2 linked regions of the Bombyx mori genome follow. The protein of the gene in region 1 binds, or shares a complex with, the protein of each later gene. Links are inferred from orthologs where the notes say so. Each region holds a gene or a part of one and is shown in the gene's direction. Other genes may lie near its edges.

Region 1 (8,216 bases):
AAACCTGCAGCCTTGCTTTGAAAATGATAAATCAGAAATAGAGGAACTAGAATCAAAAGAAGCAGAGTTAAAAGACTTTCATTTAGCAGAGATTGATTTAATTGCAGCCCTATTAAGAACAGATATACTGCAAAGGATATACTATATATTAGAGTCAATAAAACCAAGCTTCAACTGTGTACAGTATTGCTTACAGATATTAACAAGACTAGGTAGAGATTCTGTCGAGACTGCCAAAAGAATCTGTGAAATGGAGCACCTCATGAACTCTATAATAACAAATTTTGTTCCGGTGACAGGTGTCAATTTTGTCTTCAAACCACAAGTTGTATATAATGGTAAACCAGTTTTAGCAGCTATAAAGCTACTAAGAGTTCTAAGTCTACAAACTGAAGAAATTTGCAATATTTTACTAATGAAATACAATATTTTAGCACCAATTTCTGTGTATCTGAGTTCAGCAGTTGACAGAAGTTATGGCTTAAGAATACAGACTGAGTCATATTGTATACTATCAAATTTACTTTATTTTGGACTAAGCTATGATAGTGCCATTTCATTGTGTCCAGTCATACTGACAGCTTTATACAAACACGTTCAGGGTACAGACATTAATGTGGAAGCTTCTGTGTTGGCAGCAACACATGCAGCTGTGGTCTTGCAGCTGATAAATAACATACTGAAACATAATTTAAATGATTTTCTTACTTTCAAGACTGAAGTTTATAAGTTGTTGAAGGAAGGGCTATTGAAATGGTTTGGTCAGTTATCGCAAATGGAACATTATACATGTGCGCATCTGAGAATTTTATGCTCGGCTTTAGATTGCTGTTATACTGTTATTGAAATTGAACAATTGCCTGTGAAGTTCGTGAGTGATGCCCTGAAACAACTGTCTTATTCTAAAGGATTTCAAAATGTGATTAACAACCTTAGTTCCTGCTCTAATTTGCTCTCAAAAATTGAAAATAAAGATTTGTATTCAGTTAAGAACTTAATAAGTCTAAAATGCACTGTCATTGATTCTGCTCAAAAAGTTTTACCAATACTGAAAGTTGCATCTCCCATACCTCTGCTGATGTCACTTTTCAAATTACTGACAATAGTCAATCAAAAAGAAATCTCTAGAATATTCTTAGACCATGTTTGGAACTATTTGCAAAGATTATCTAAATGTGTTCCTAGTCTTTCAGATAATTGGTTCACTAGAATGGAAACTAATTTTGTTTTTTACGTTATGAAATTATCTGTTATGTGTAATGTTGATGAAAGCAAAAAGGATGTAATGTATGCAGTAGCTAACAAATTGTGTTACACATTGAGGGTAGATAAAAAATATGAACTAGATTTCTTATTTGAAAGTATCGTTTTTAACAAAGATTGGTTCACGGCCGAAAGGTTGTTAAATCTTGTCAATTTGACTGATGCAGACGGATTCTCAAGAGCTTTAACTGCCATAGAAGACATACGACAATGTTACCGTAGAGTTATTAACTTGAATTACAAAGATACAGGTGCTAATGTTGTGTTAAGAAAATGGATGGAGCCAATTTTGCCAAGAGACTGGATTTATTTGCCAATTTTGATGTTATACAGTAAAAATCAGGAGGCGGAGTCGATTCCCCATGTTTCCGGAGATCATGCCCAGAAAATGTCAGCGCAAATAGCGACCGAAAAGGAATTTATAATAACATGTAGCTTAGAATGGATATTGTTTAACGAACTCTGTTTTTCTGATTTAGTCAATGATATTGATGTAACAGATAGATTTTGTCGAATCATGTGCGTGTTTTTATGTGACAACTCGTTATTCTTGCAACCAAAAATTAGAATGTTACTGCAGAAATGCACCAATGTCCTTTTCAAAAAGAAATCAGCCTTCAATTTCGATAAACAATTAACGGGCTTGAACAACTTCCAAGATTTCTACACACAGTTTCTAGAACAATTCCAAGCGGTCAGCTATGGAGATGACGTGTTTTCTGCATGTGTATTGGTGCCTTTAGCTCAAAAGCATAATGTTAAATGGAGGAAATTGATATGGTCGGAATATGCTGGATGTCTCCGGGCGTTAGATTGCCCGGAACAACTACTTTGTTATGAAGTAAATGAGTATCTTTATCCAGAAGAGACGGACGAATCTTTGATTAAATCTTATCATCGCGCGCTATCCTGTAATTTACTACGACCGGATACAATAATGCATAAAATTGCGAGTCATCACGTGCACATATTCAAGAATCGATCTCAGATACAAAACACTTGAAATTACTAAAATACAATGTAACGTTTTTCTTGTTGACATTTTTGTCAATAAGATATTTTGACGGTATTCATTTTAAACTTCAGGAAGCATTTTCTCCAATTAACCTGATTTGTGTGGACAAAATTGATTTTTGTTCCTGTAGATCAACTCACGATGAACTCACATGCTACATTATTCAATGTAAACTCTCAACTATAGTATACGAAAGCCTTTATGACTTCTCTAACTACCCATGGCGAACGTGGCTTTTTGTAATAAGTAATAAAGGATTGAATTTTCAATATGAATTAAATTATTTTAATTTAATTAACCCTTAATATCCCCTGTTTTTCCCGTTTCGGTAAGTCGTTTCTGTTCCAATCTTAAGCCCCACCACCCTCGTTAAAATATGAGGTCGAAATTCTTGAATTGTCGACGAAACATTAATTCCGTCCCGTCCTTCAAGCACCGCGTGAATCCTTCGCGGCGTATATTATTTGTAATATAGTGGTACCCAAATAACCCATTGCTATATTAATTTAATTGAAGAAGTAACAGGAGGGGGCTTCGAACGCCTGGGTGAGAGTACAGGAGAGTCGTTTCGTAGGCGTCTGGACCTCGTAGGAGGATCAGAAATAAAGTACCTATTTTTATTCCGGAGTGAAATAAAGATAAATCCAATGGCAACAACAAAAATTAAATTACCATCTTCTTGTTTGGTATGTAGCTCATGTAAATTTTTGCATGTTTTCGTGTTTATGAAAAGAAAGTGTTAATTTATAAAAAAAAAATTGTTATTAGGCAGCAAGTGCTCAAGAGCGGGGAAATACAAAAAATGTCTTGAAATACTAGTCTGGTTCTTAGAAGCCATTGTGAAGTCTTAGTAGAATGGCCGCATTCTACTGGATAAAATAACTAAATAACTATTCTACTTAAACCCAGTCGACGGCCGTGCAAATATATGAAGTTGACAACTGGTTTACGCGGGAAAATTACTTAACAGTTAGTTTCAAAATGTCAACAAGAACAAAATATTGACATTATTGACAAGTTAATGACAGAAGCCGCAGGTGTTCAATTTCAATGGTGGTTCAATGTTTTTTATATGTTAAAAATTTCTAACACTCATAGGAAAATGGTTATTTCCTGAGTTATTCGTTCCTGTGTACGGCAAAAATGTTTATAGAGGACCTCAGAAATGACTTTTACAATCTCCTTTTAGGCAATGTAAGCTTTAAAACTGAAGATAAATATTCGTGAAATATTGACCTGAAAATTGTATTTTTGTTAATTTACTTCCAGCGCGTGTTATTATTAGTGCATTATGATGTAGATGCAATATGTACATGTAAAATACTTCAAGGATTATTCAAGAGTGATAATATATCATATACGCTAGTGCCGGTGGGGGGTATTTCTGAATTGAAGACTGCTTACGAAGAAAACAATGAAGAAGTCAAGTACGTAGTGTTGGTGAACTGCGGAGGTACTATAGACCTGGTCGATATCTTACAGCCCGAGGAGGATGTGGTATTTTTTGTGCTGGACTCCCATAAACCGACTGATGTCTGCAATGTTTATAGCGATGGACAGGTTAGTGGAACTAGAGAGAGCAGCAGATGTTATAAATACTTTATGTTGGCAATGATTTGGGAATTGAATTTTTAGACAGACATAAACTTGCTTATGGATGGGTGAACAAATGAAAAAAGTTCTTAATCCACTCCATTTCATATGAAGTTTGGGTGAATAAACAAGAATAACTGTTCAAAAGACTAGATTAGTTAGTTAGAGATAGAGAGATAGCTTAGAGCCTAAATTTGACAAAGTACATAATCATTATGTTAGGATATGACACAAAGTGCAGCAAAATGTTTCAACAGAACAGAATCAAAAGACTTGACCTCAAATAAAGGAAGGGAATTTAGAAGCTAACATGGCTTTATTGTTTTAACATTTAGAAAGAAAAAAAAACATGTTCAGTGAAGTTAGTACAACCCCACTAGATTACTAGATAGTAGGTAGAAATATATATTTTGTTCTGTTACAGGTGAGACTGGTGTACCGTGATGAAGAAGAGAACATTCCTAATTTTGATGATATATTCAGAGATGATGATGATGAGGTACGAAACTGTAATATCTGATTTAAGACTATTTTGCAATGCTGCAAACTCCAAAAGTTTTTAAAAATCTAGTTTACAATAAAAATTTAATGGTATTTAAAATTTGAAGTCAGTGTGAAGATATTAAAAATAATTACAGAACGAAGAAGAAATGCCAAGTGGTCGAGAAGACCTAGAAGCTTTTGTCGAGAGACGGCGTCAACGTAGAGAATGGGAAACAAAACGAAACGATCTTATGTTTAACTACACTCAATTCTCATATTATGGTAAACCGGTGAGTAAAACGTCTGATAAACCTATTGAACTGTGTTAACAATAATTATGGACATTAATGAATAAAGTAGATCCAGTCTTGTATCAATCTCACTTGTAATATGAATTTGACAATTATTTACAGATAAGTCTTAATCTAATAATACATTTGCATTAGAGTGCTTGCATAGCAGTAGAGCTGGCCTGGCTGCTATGTCGCAGCGGAGTGGAGTACACGTGGGCCGGATGCATAGCTGTCAGTGCGTATGCTGCCACTCACACACGCTCCCCTGCACAAGCTCTGCTTGATGCACATGCGCTGCATCGACATCTCGCCGCGCAACTACCTTCACATGTGAGTATGTTACTGCACATAAATATATGGGCACACACCAATATCATGCACGAGATACAACTACTGTACATTGCCACGGGTATTACTTAAGCTGGGTAGCCTTTAGAGGTTATGCCAGCGTAAACGAGAGAGTAGGTGAGCTCACGGGGCTCTAAGCTGTGGACGTTGCTAACTCTAGCCCTAGCACTGGTCTGCTTCTATCGGTTTGGATCCATCACCGGATCGGAAGGTCTGGCGAGAAACTCAGTGGGCTGTGTAAGTGGGTTAATTTACTTTTTTTTTTTTTTTTTTTTTTTTTTTTTTCCGGGCCGTGGGCCGAACCTCCTACGAGGTCCCCGCGCCTAGGGGGCGCGCGGGGTATGTGAGACTCAACGATCTGCAGGTGTTGAGAGCAGACCGCGGGCCCAAGGAATTTAGGGCCCACCCACTAAACGACTCCCCTGCACTCTTACACCCGGCGTCCGATCTCCGTCCGGGGTCAAAACCCGGTCAGAGTAGGGGGGTTCCCGCGGTCAACACTACAACCAGACACGCGGCGCCACCCCGAGGACGCCCGACCGACGGGTCGTCGAGGCGATAGTCGACGACCAACGACGTCAGTCTCCGCGGTACGGCGGCCCTTCAGGCCGCCCGGGCGATGCCGCTGGTGTTCCGGGATACCCCGCTGGGCCAGAACCAGCCTGCCGGGTCGGAACGCGATACACCGCCGACCGGGTTGCTCTTCCACAGTGTTCGGCGACGACAGCGACGACGAAAATGCGGACCGCATCGCAGTCCGCAGCCGCCGACGCGTCGTCCCGTCCTCCTGGTGCCAGCGCGCTAGAGTGACGGTAGCGTGCGGCGCAGTCTCAGCCCCCTTAGGTCGCCCCGTGACCATCACCGGGAGGAGACTGCCTCCTCATAGGGGCCGGAGCTGGACAAACGCCCTCCTCCGACCCCCGGCTCGACGGCGGCGGCACGGCGCCGAGAGGGAGGAAGAGTTCTCCCTCTCCCGTTCCGCCGCCTCCTTCTGCGAGATGGTGGACACGCAGAAGTCGAGCATCGCCTGCCAGGACTCATCGCTGCCGAGCATCGCAGCCACGACGGTCGGAAGCGACAAGTCCGGTCCTATTTTTGCAACGAGGACGCGGCGCTGCTCCGCGAAAGCGGGGCAGCACGCGAGCGTGTGCTCCGCCGTGTCCTCGTTGCAGCCACTGCAATGGTGGCACTTCGGCGTCGGCTCCCTCCGGGCGACGAGGTGCAGGTAGCGACCGAAACAGCCGTGTCCCGTGAGCACCTGCGTCGCTCGGAAGGTGAGACGTCCTCGGTCGCGATTCACCCAGTCCGAGAGGACCGGGCGGATCGCCTCGACGGTCCGTCGCCCGTAGGCGGGGTCCGCCAGGCGGCGAGACCACGCCTCGAGCACGGCACGCCGAGATTGAAGCTTCCGCGCTCGAACTTCCGCCGCGCCGGGACGCGGCTCCCCCCTGGAGCGGAGATCACATCGCCACGCGTAATCCGCAGCAAGCGCCTCCGCTTCCAGGTCCCAGGGAGGCGTCCCGGCGAGCACGCACGCCGCCTCGAACGAGACGGTGCGGTACCCACGAACCGCCCTGACCGCAATCGCGCGCTGCGGACGTCGCAACGCTGCGACGTTGTCACGGGTCAGGGCGTGGCACCATACGGGCGCCCCGTACAGTGCCATTGACCGCACCACCCCCGTGTAGAGGCGGCGCACCACCATGTCGGGACCCCCGACGTTCGGCAACAGCCGACTCAGCGAGCCGGCGGCTGCCATCAGTCGGGGACCCAATCTTTCGAAGTGAGCACGGAAGCTCCAACGACCGTCCAGTACGAGGCCGAGGTACCGCAACCCGGTCGCCTCGATCTCGACGCGAACGCCTCCGATCACGAGGTGGGCCCCCTGAGGCGGCGCTCTCCGGGCCCCGTGGAACAACAGGGCCTGGGATTTATCGAACGCCACCTCCAGACCCAGCCTTCGGATCCTGCCGACGACGAAGGCCACCCCCGCGCAGGAAAGACGGGCAGACTCGCGCAAGTCCCTACCCCGGGCCACGACCAAGGTGTCGTCCACGTAACAAACTACGCTTAGACCCGGGAGAGGAGCGCTAAGGGCACCCCGCAGGACCCAGTCGTAGCCGATGTTCCACAAGAGAGGGCCAAGGACCGACCCCTGTGGGACACCGCGCTCGACGGGGAAGCGGAGCACCGCCCCACCGTGCTCGGTGCACATGACCGACCTGTCCTCGAGGTAGGACCCGATCAGCCGACGGAGATACGCAGGGACGCCGTGATACTCCAGCGCCCCTGCGATCACCGACCAGGGCAGGGTGTTGAACGCATTGGCGATGTCCAGGGACACCGCCAGTGCAACCCCGCCCCGGCCGACAGCCTCATCAGAGAGGGCGCGCACGCGCATCACCGCGTCGATGGTCGAGCGGCCCTCCCTGAATCCGAACTGCTCCGTTGACAGATCGGGACCCACCCCCGCCAAGTGCTGGACGATGCGGGCGGCCACCACTCGCTCGAGCAGTTTTCCCGCCTCGTCCAGCAACACGATTGGACGGTACCCCGCAGGTGAGTCTGCAGGGCGTCCCTCCTTCCTCAGCAAAACAAGTCTGCCCGTCTTCCACTGTTTCGGAAACCGTCCCGACTCGAGGCAGGCTTCAAAGAGCCGCACGAGCCGGTCCCCAAGGGCACCGAAGGCCAAATCCCAGACCCGACCATGAACACCGTCAGGGCCGGGGGCCGCGTCCTTCCTCCGCATCCTCGACACGGCCGCACGAATCTCCTCCTCCGAGATACTCGGAGGGACCACCTCAGCAGGGGCATCACCGCTCACATCACCCCGTGGCGGCGCGCCCATGGAGGGGGGCTCGAAGTCCCTCTCCATCCGCGGGAACAGCCCGGAGACAATCTCCCGCAGCTGCTGAGGCTGGAGACGCTCTGTCACCGGGAGCGCCCACGGCCGCAATTTCTTGCGGACCGTTTGGTACGGGCGCCCCCAGGGATCCTGGTCGAGCGTCTCTAGGAGCGTCTTCATGCTCTGAGACTTGGCCTCGCCGATGACCCGCCGCAGTGCCTCCTGCTTCTGACGGCAGTCGGCATGCAGGCGGGCCGCTACCTCCGCGAAGTCCGCATCGCGAAGGCGGCGACGGCGGTGGCGGGCGCTTCGGCGGCGCGCCCGCACGCACTCCTCTCGGAGGAGCGCGATCTCGGGCGTAGTGGGTTAATTTACT
Region 2 (8,145 bases), on another chromosome or scaffold:
AAATTAATTGTTGTTTGCACTTGAATGAAATATTTCTACCATAGCACCGTCAACGTACCTCAAATGACTTTTGTGTATTTTGAACTAATAGGTGTATTTAATGAATTTATTCTGGACATGTTACAAACAAAAAACATTAGTTTCGTTTAATTAAGAACTTGGAAAATACTGTTAGTTGTGACTCTAACCGCCACCTTTTGTGGAAATTTGAAACTAGTAAACGTAATGGAAGTACATACGTATTGAAAATAGATGTCGCTAGATGCATCGAATGTCACATTTGACATATTTATGGCGCGAAAAAACGCCTTAAAACAGAATGGGTTTTAAATGACTAGCTGAATTTCCGGGCGCGATCTCACGAATTTGTATGCAGATTTAAGAAGAAAGATGTTGAATGTTGTTGCTCGGAGACAATGTGTTTTTCGCTCGTGCAGACACATCTGTTATTTATTTGTCGCATTCAAGACAGGTTACTTTTATAAATCTCCAAGATGTTTTTTATCTGTGACGTTTTTATGTTTCGTGAAATCGCTGAATGCTTTTTCTTCTTGTGATTATTTCACTGTAGTATGTTTACATATTTCAAAGGTTTACCAGAAAATAAATGAAATATTAGTATTTTCTATGATAAAAGATAGACTCTACAGATTAAATATGATTCGTTCAAAATAAAATTTATTGCCATTTTCATAGTGTCGAATAGGTGCGTTACTAAAAACTCCGACGAAATAGTAGACTTAGCACTGAAATTGGGCGAATGAAATACATAGTGATCAGTTTATAGACAGAGCAATGTATGTGTTTTTTCCAAACTAAGAGACGCATAAACTTACTGTTCTCTCTGACACAAGGGGGTGAGTCCCCACCAATAATATAGAGCCATAAATATCACCCGTCTGAGACATTGTCAACCGGCTACCCTAATTTACGAGGAGTAATTAGGAGTTTGCACTCTGCCAAAACGATTTGCATCGATCGCCACTCGTAAATGACGTCAATAATTTTAAATGGTAATTTCAATGTTTTACTTTTATGCAGAGAGATGAAGAGTGAGCGAGTTTCGCGTTTTATTTCAGGATTATGCTAACGACTAAATTACATGTAAGGCTAACTTATGCAATTTGAGTTTAAATTAAGCAATTCACAAAAATAATACCCACTTATTTAATGTTCTTTATTTACGATTCCACTTAAAATTGTTCTATAACTACGATTTTTTTTAAAGTAGATTTTTTTTATTTTAGTGCCACCTAGTTCAATCATCTGAACTACGCCAGCTTTAGTGAAAACAAACCATCTATGTCAGTTATTTAAATGTAGCATAGATGACGCTTAAATAAGCAAATTTAAAGAAAACATGTAAATTAAAACTTAATTACCTACTTCCAGTATCGCCATTCATACAGCTATTTAAAACACTGGATTTATGAAACTTATTTCATAAATTCGATCTACTAAGTCGTATTATTTAAACGTTATTCCCGCCAATTTTCCTTTTTTTTAAGGGATTTTATGAACTGGTAACTAAGACTTTTAGGTCATTTTTCGTATTTTCGTATTTTAATTTATATTCATAGTTTTATGAAAAATGATAATATGGAGTGAAATGAAATGAAAATAATTAATTTGAGACATTAATCAACTGGGATGAAATATAATCTCAGTAAAATGGTGGTCACTTACCGCCAAAAAATCTGCATCACTATGTCAGTATGTCAAAGCATAGAACACTTACTATTTGAGTTTCAAAGTCAAACAATTAAGCTCTATAAACAAGAGTAAATATCAGTGGTCTCGAACCTACCGATTTTTCGGTATATCTACCGATATGGGCACTGATCTATTGAAATACCGAAATAAAATGATTTTTCTACGATTTCAGAGTATACATGGAAATTCTCCCGATTTTTCTACCGATTTGACACTTTTAGACATTATTGATCCAAAACATGTTAAAATTGGCAAGACTACTTCGATACTACTTAAAAGTAGGCTCTTTCCCAATATTGTTCAGAGCAATGATTTCCAGGAAATTGATAGAGTAGCGCATTTTAAGAAATTGTGAATAAATCAAAACATTTCCTAATGATGTAGAACTATTTTGGGAAGAAGTAACTTTATTAAAACGTGGCGATGAAACTCAAATGTTTCCTTTGTTGTCTAATTTCATCCTTAATATTTTATCACTTTCCTATTCATCCGCTAACGTTGAACGCATATTTATTCTTTTGAAAACAAAACAGCGAAATAGGCTGTCTACTGAGTCAATCACTGGTCTATTACATGCAAAACGACTCTATAATACAGCTAATTGCTATGATTTTGAAATTAATTCAACGATGACTGCAGCTATGGCCAAACAATATTGGTATAAAAAATATTTATTCTTAAATATGATTGTTATAAATTAGTATGTAAGTTTTTTTTTCAATAAATAAACGCATTTGATTGAATATTGTATATTTTTTGACTAATACCGATTTTGGGTACAAAATAGTACAAATGTACCGATTTTAGCTGGCAAGTCTACTAATCTCGCTCTATGACGTTTGAGATCAGTGATAAAGATAAGGCGACTTTTTGGCGGGAACGCGAGGAGTGAAGTTGTGTGTTTTGTTTTATTTTGTCTATTTAGTGTTTCTTGGGTTTATATGTGTAATAATGGTGGTTTATTAACTGTTTAATATCTGTGAAAGTGCAAAAATGTGGGAAAATGAAACAAAGCCGCTGGACGTCACTTCTCGGGATCCTCCAAAAGTCCAACGAAAAAATCTCAGTAAATGACCACCATTTTACTGAGATTATAGTTCATCCCATATCATCTCATCTCATTTCATTTGATTTCATCCCAGTTAATTAATGTCTCAAATTAATTATCTTCATTTCATTTCATCATTTTTCATAAAAATAAGAGTATAAATTAAAATAAGACATGACTTAAAAGTCTTAGTTACCAGGTCATAATATAAAATACCTAAAAAAATATGATAAATAAAAACATGATAAAGGTAGGTAATATTCCTAAATTTTTAACCAAAATGAATTAAATTAAATATATGTATATTATTAAATGATTATAAATTATTAAAACCATAAAAATAATAATGGAACCTTATGAAATCGAGTTTATTGGTGAGAATCGGATAATCAGTATAACACCAAACTTTACCCATGATAAAATATACTTGATATGCGGTGAATTTGGTCCGTTTCGTGCTGGTTTACCTGTGAACGTACCACTCTGGCTGGCTATCATGCTAAAGCAGAAACAAAAGTGCCATGTTATCCCTCCTGACTGGATGGACGTGGAAGTTTTGGAGAATATTAAAGAAGAGGAAAAGCGTTCCAGGTTTGTCAATATATTTAATAAATTTGGTTTTTTACAAAACACACCAGTTTCAAAACTTTGATCTTTCTAGGTGGTCCAGTTTATTCCAGATACAATTTAATATTTTGTTTATACAACTTCCATGTCTTAATTTTAAATCAAAAAGTATATTTTATTATTATGGTTTATGTTATAAATACCTTCTAGAGCCATCCATTCTAACACTGATACTAAACAATAACTATTAGTGGTCTACCTGTTAATAAATCTCAAATTGTAACATGATTAAAAAACTTGAAGTTCATTGGTCAATAAATATATCTTTGCCAGTACTCATGAAAGGGTGTGTAAATATAAAATCTATCATTAAATGGCGTTTGAGAATTATCAGCAAGATAAAGCAAGTAGTTGTAGTAGTCAAAGTTTTCACATTAAATCTTCCTAAAATTATCAAACTACCAGATTCTTCACAAAGATGCCAAATGAACACTATATGGTGGAAGCCAAACTGATACTTGGTTCAGCTGCCGAAGATGTTCCCAATGCACCAGAAATAAAGACTATTATCAAAGACATCTGGGATATAAGAATGTCTAAGTTACGAACATCAATGGATGCATTGATGAAAACTGGAGGTTTGTAATGATTCCTTTAAAATACTTTACTTTTAAGTACTTTTAACTTACATTTTAAAGATTTTTGAATTGAGAGGATTTTATATTTTATTTTATTGTAACTGATGATATTGTAAACCTGCATGGATCAGAAAGCCTATAATGATGATATGTGGTCTTCGGTAACAACTTAACACCAGAATGGTATGCTTAAATTAAGATAAGAAAAAAATATAGAATGTGACTTACTCAGTCATAAGTTAAATTCAGGACATTTATAATTGACATTTTCAGGTGGCTATGGCAGATTAGATCATTTAACAATGATGGAAATAAACTCAGTGAAACCTCTTCTACCTGCTGCTATGGACAACCTCTTAAGGATGCAAATGGTAAGAACATGTGTGACAAATTGTAATATACTCTCCTTTAGACACATCCTTCTGTATTTTCATCTCCACTTTGTCCTTTTTACGAATATCTCTGAATGTATGTACCATCCTTCGGACCATCTTATACGTGACACATTTATGCATTCTACTCTGAAGGATCCTTGGATTTCTGTTCTAGACTTCACTCTCGTGTCCTAGTAGAAGGGCAAATCACATTGTTGTGATGATGATGTGTGTTACCAAAACTAAAACTGTGAGTGTGCAGTGAGTTCAGCTAACCTAAGGTTTAGTAACTACGGTAATTTGGAGTTTGTAAACCTGGTCTTATCAATATCATTGTTAAACTTAAATTCGGTATTGAAGATTTTTTTATTTGTTTTATAGAGTAAATTACAGTAAGCTGTCTTTAGACTTTCAACTGTAGTTTTGACAAAAATAATTTGATAGGCAGTACACGCACAATGTCCATATCAGTGAATCTACACTGGATCTAGTAGATCTGAAGACACTCTTCTTCAGTCTTCTTGTTGTCATTTGGTTGTCCGTTAGATGCTTAGCAAGGTTATTTGGGTGGGCTTTAAAATTGAAGATCTGAGTGCAATTATTCTTATATGTACTTGCAGTACAGTTTTGTAACAAATAATCAACTTTTTGTTTTACAGAAAACGAAAAAGACAGCACCATCGCTCAATTTAAATAGTTCAACCTTCAGTCAATCAGGGAGCTCTCAAAATACATAGTTTTAAGTGTAGTTAAGTGTAGTTTAAGTTTAGTAAGTTCTTAATACTTTTTAATGATTTTGTAACAAAGTGGTTGGTAACAATCAAAAAGTGGTAATAACATTAAAAACACTTATTGTAACCTTGTTTTTATTCTTTTTAGATATTTAAAATTGCATGCATTTAGAGTTGATCTTATTATATTAAACATTTGATAACCTGTTGTTTTAGACCGAAACCTCAAATCTCAACAGTTTTTATTTTTCACTGCCTAATCTTCGGTAGCCTACGGGGCTGTTCAACTACGCGCGGACCATTAGGTGGGCTCATGGGCACAACCTGGAAAAATATGCTAACACCAGCCCTAACAAAAGCAGTGCTTCGCAGAATCTACCACCGGATCGGAACCGCGACCCACTTAGAAGATCCGGCGGGAAATTAAGTGGGCTGTGTCTATGGACTAGCTCGCACGTCGAACTCTTCAGTTCAGTTCGTCAACGCGTCAGTAATCGATGAATTCGACGAAGACAATGACCACTGCTTAAAGACCTAAAAGCACCGAGAGCGGATGTTGAGGACCCGACAAGATAAATTTTGGGCGACGGCGGCTGCCTTGTCCCGTCGCCTGGGTGCGATATGTAACAGGTCTACAAAAAAAATTATTTTTTTCTACTTTTTTTTCATAGATGAATTCATTATATTTTGTGCTCCAAACACGGAATCTGACATACAATTAGTTACCACACGTAGATTCCCATATAATATTTATTTAATTAACAAACAATATTATTAAAATATCAATTATCATAACGAAATGAAAACATATTTCGGTCTAAGTTTTACAGTGAAAAATCTGAAATTATAGTCACAAAATGAATATATATCGGTCAGTTATCTCATTATATGGTGAGAAGATTTATTTTGTGGTTTTTTTATTTGTCATCGTTTCTATTGGAGTTTCTCAGCGAATTGACCAACAGAAATCAGCAAGCACTGCTGCTGACCATTTCCCACTGTAGCGTTTTTCAATGTGCATTATATCCTGATGAAACCTTTCACCATATTCATCTGATACGGCTCCAAGATTTTCAGGAAAGAGATCTAAAAGAGAGTCGGAAAAATAAATCTTGAGTGACATATTGCATCCTAAAGCTTTATAAGCAAAAAGAAGCTCCCGAATGATTTGTCAGTAGTTCTCACTTTTTCTGTTCCCAAGAAAATTATGACAAACTTTCACAAAAGCCGCCCAAGCTCTTTTTTCTGCTTCGTTCAACTTCGAATTAAAATTTTCATCTTTCATTAGCTCACGTAAGTATCTGTTGATCTACAAAAATTTCTTCCTTCAATTTTGCGTCACTGATTCGAGGAATTTTGGTTTTTAGATATTGAAATTATTCATTGATATTAATTTTAGATATAGTTTTTCTTGAGTCCCAACCTTATGTGAGTGGTGGCAGAAATTTTTTCTCACTTGGCACCAAAGGTTTCTGAGACACATTTTTAAGCCCAGGATTTAAAGTTTTTATCTTGCGTGACTGTCCCACTCACAAAGAAAACGGCAAAACTTTGTGTACCCTCATTGTAATCCGGTGAGTATAGCGACGACTTTTAAATCAGCACAAATATTCCATAAGTAGTTTGAGTTCCATAAAGGTTTGAAAAAAAAAACATATCAAAAAATCTAGACGTGATGGAAAAAATCGGCCAAGGGGTATAGATTCAGAACATTTAAATCGTCATATTTATGACAAAAAATTTTAAAGGAGGATTTCATTGCATACCTGTGTAATTAGCGGTGGCCATTAAAAGAGATTTATAGTGTGGTGCCACTTTATAAAAGTTGTGTTCTGACGCTTCCAGATCGGTTTCGCTTAAAAATCCGAGGTATTGCTTACCCCTGCTATTACCTGTCCCTTTATTATTATTTTTTCGGGCCGGAGGCCGAACCTCCTACGAGATCCCCGGCGGGGTATGTGGGGCTGGTCCGCGAATGCGAGACCGCGGGCCCAAGGAATTTTAGGACCGTACCGCACTAAATGACCCCTGCGTTCTTACACCCGACGTCCGATCTCCGTCTGGGGTCAGAACCCGGTCAGAGTAGGGAGGTTCCCGCGGTCAACGCTACAACCAGACACGCGGCGCCACCCCGAGGACGCCCGACCGACGAGTCGTCGAGGCGATAGTCAACGACCAACGACGTCGGTCTCCGCGGTACGGCGGCCCTACCAGGCCGCCTCGCGCTGGTGTTCCGGGATACCCCGCTGGGCCAGAACCAGCCTGTCGGAAGGCGATACACCGCCGAGCGGGTTGCTACTACTACCTGATCCCTACATTAACAGTTCCATATTGGTGTTATTTTCTGTCAATATAGTTTCGTTTTAACAATCCCTTACAATTGCTTTGTATAGAAATAAAATAAAAAATTCATAAGAAAAAAATATATTTCTTCTGAAAACCAAGATTTACAATTCTTCACTTAAATGTAAAAAAGTAGAAGACGCAAACTACGAACCTAATTAATTGCTCTGTTAGTCTTATTTATGTCACTATAAGGTACTTATTAAATTTAAATGCACTTAGCCTAGATTATAATCTAGATAGGCAGCTTCAATTAATAAACTATAAAATATTAATTTATATTTTTATCTATCAAAGAAATATTGAAATTTAATATAATTATGTACCTACATAAATTAAGGATTATTTAATCAAAGATACAAACAAACGGTCAATGAACTTAGAATTCAGTCATGTATTTTCAAACAGAAGCACAGGGATATTAATCATTTTCTATGTTTCCAAAAGGTGATTGGTCTAGTATATTATAAAACGACCATTTGTTTTAAAGTAAGATTCCTTTAAATGTATGTTCCATCAAAAGAATTAAACTTGTATTTAAGGAAATTTATGTAAAATAATTACTACAAAAAACCCCATATACTTCTGTTGTTCACAATTATGTATGTATATTACTAGTAGTTAGTTATGGCCATCAATGATTATTACGAATCAAACTTAATTTATAATGTTTTTAACTGGAATGTCACATTTACGGTTGAGATAATTTTACAAAAGAAAGCGTTTCATAG

What was found. The genes of interacting proteins can lie anywhere in the genome.
Region 2: cell division control protein 45 homolog (region 1) and probable DNA replication complex GINS protein PSF2 share a complex: the UniProt entries of both Homo sapiens proteins name them as parts of the CMG helicase complex. The link is inferred for Bombyx mori from reciprocal best matches to the Homo sapiens genes CDC45 and GINS2.

What each region holds. Positions count from the first base shown.
Region 1 is NC_085122.1:1,050,181-1,058,396, reverse strand, and holds the start of cell division control protein 45 homolog, read left to right. Parts: upstream 1-3,284; 5' UTR 3,285-3,421; coding exon 3,422-3,472; intron 3,473-3,547; coding exon 3,548-3,838; intron 3,839-4,295; coding exon 4,296-4,370; intron 4,371-4,509; coding exon 4,510-4,644; intron 4,645-4,800; coding exon 4,801-4,977; intron 4,978-8,216. Other genes in the region: RNA polymerase II-associated protein 1, read left to right, coding at 1-2,266. UniProt on the Homo sapiens protein: Required for initiation of chromosomal DNA replication. Core component of CDC45-MCM-GINS (CMG) helicase, the molecular machine that unwinds template DNA during replication, and around which the replisome is built.
Region 2 is NC_085116.1:1,523,385-1,531,529, forward strand, and holds probable DNA replication complex GINS protein PSF2, read left to right. Parts: upstream 1-2,574; 5' UTR 2,575-3,107; coding exon 3,108-3,352; intron 3,353-3,793; coding exon 3,794-3,966; intron 3,967-4,239; coding exon 4,240-4,535; 3' UTR 4,536-4,999; coding exon of another isoform or gene 5,000-5,077; 3' UTR 5,078-5,198; downstream 5,199-8,145. UniProt on the Homo sapiens protein: Required for correct functioning of the GINS complex, a complex that plays an essential role in the initiation of DNA replication, and progression of DNA replication forks.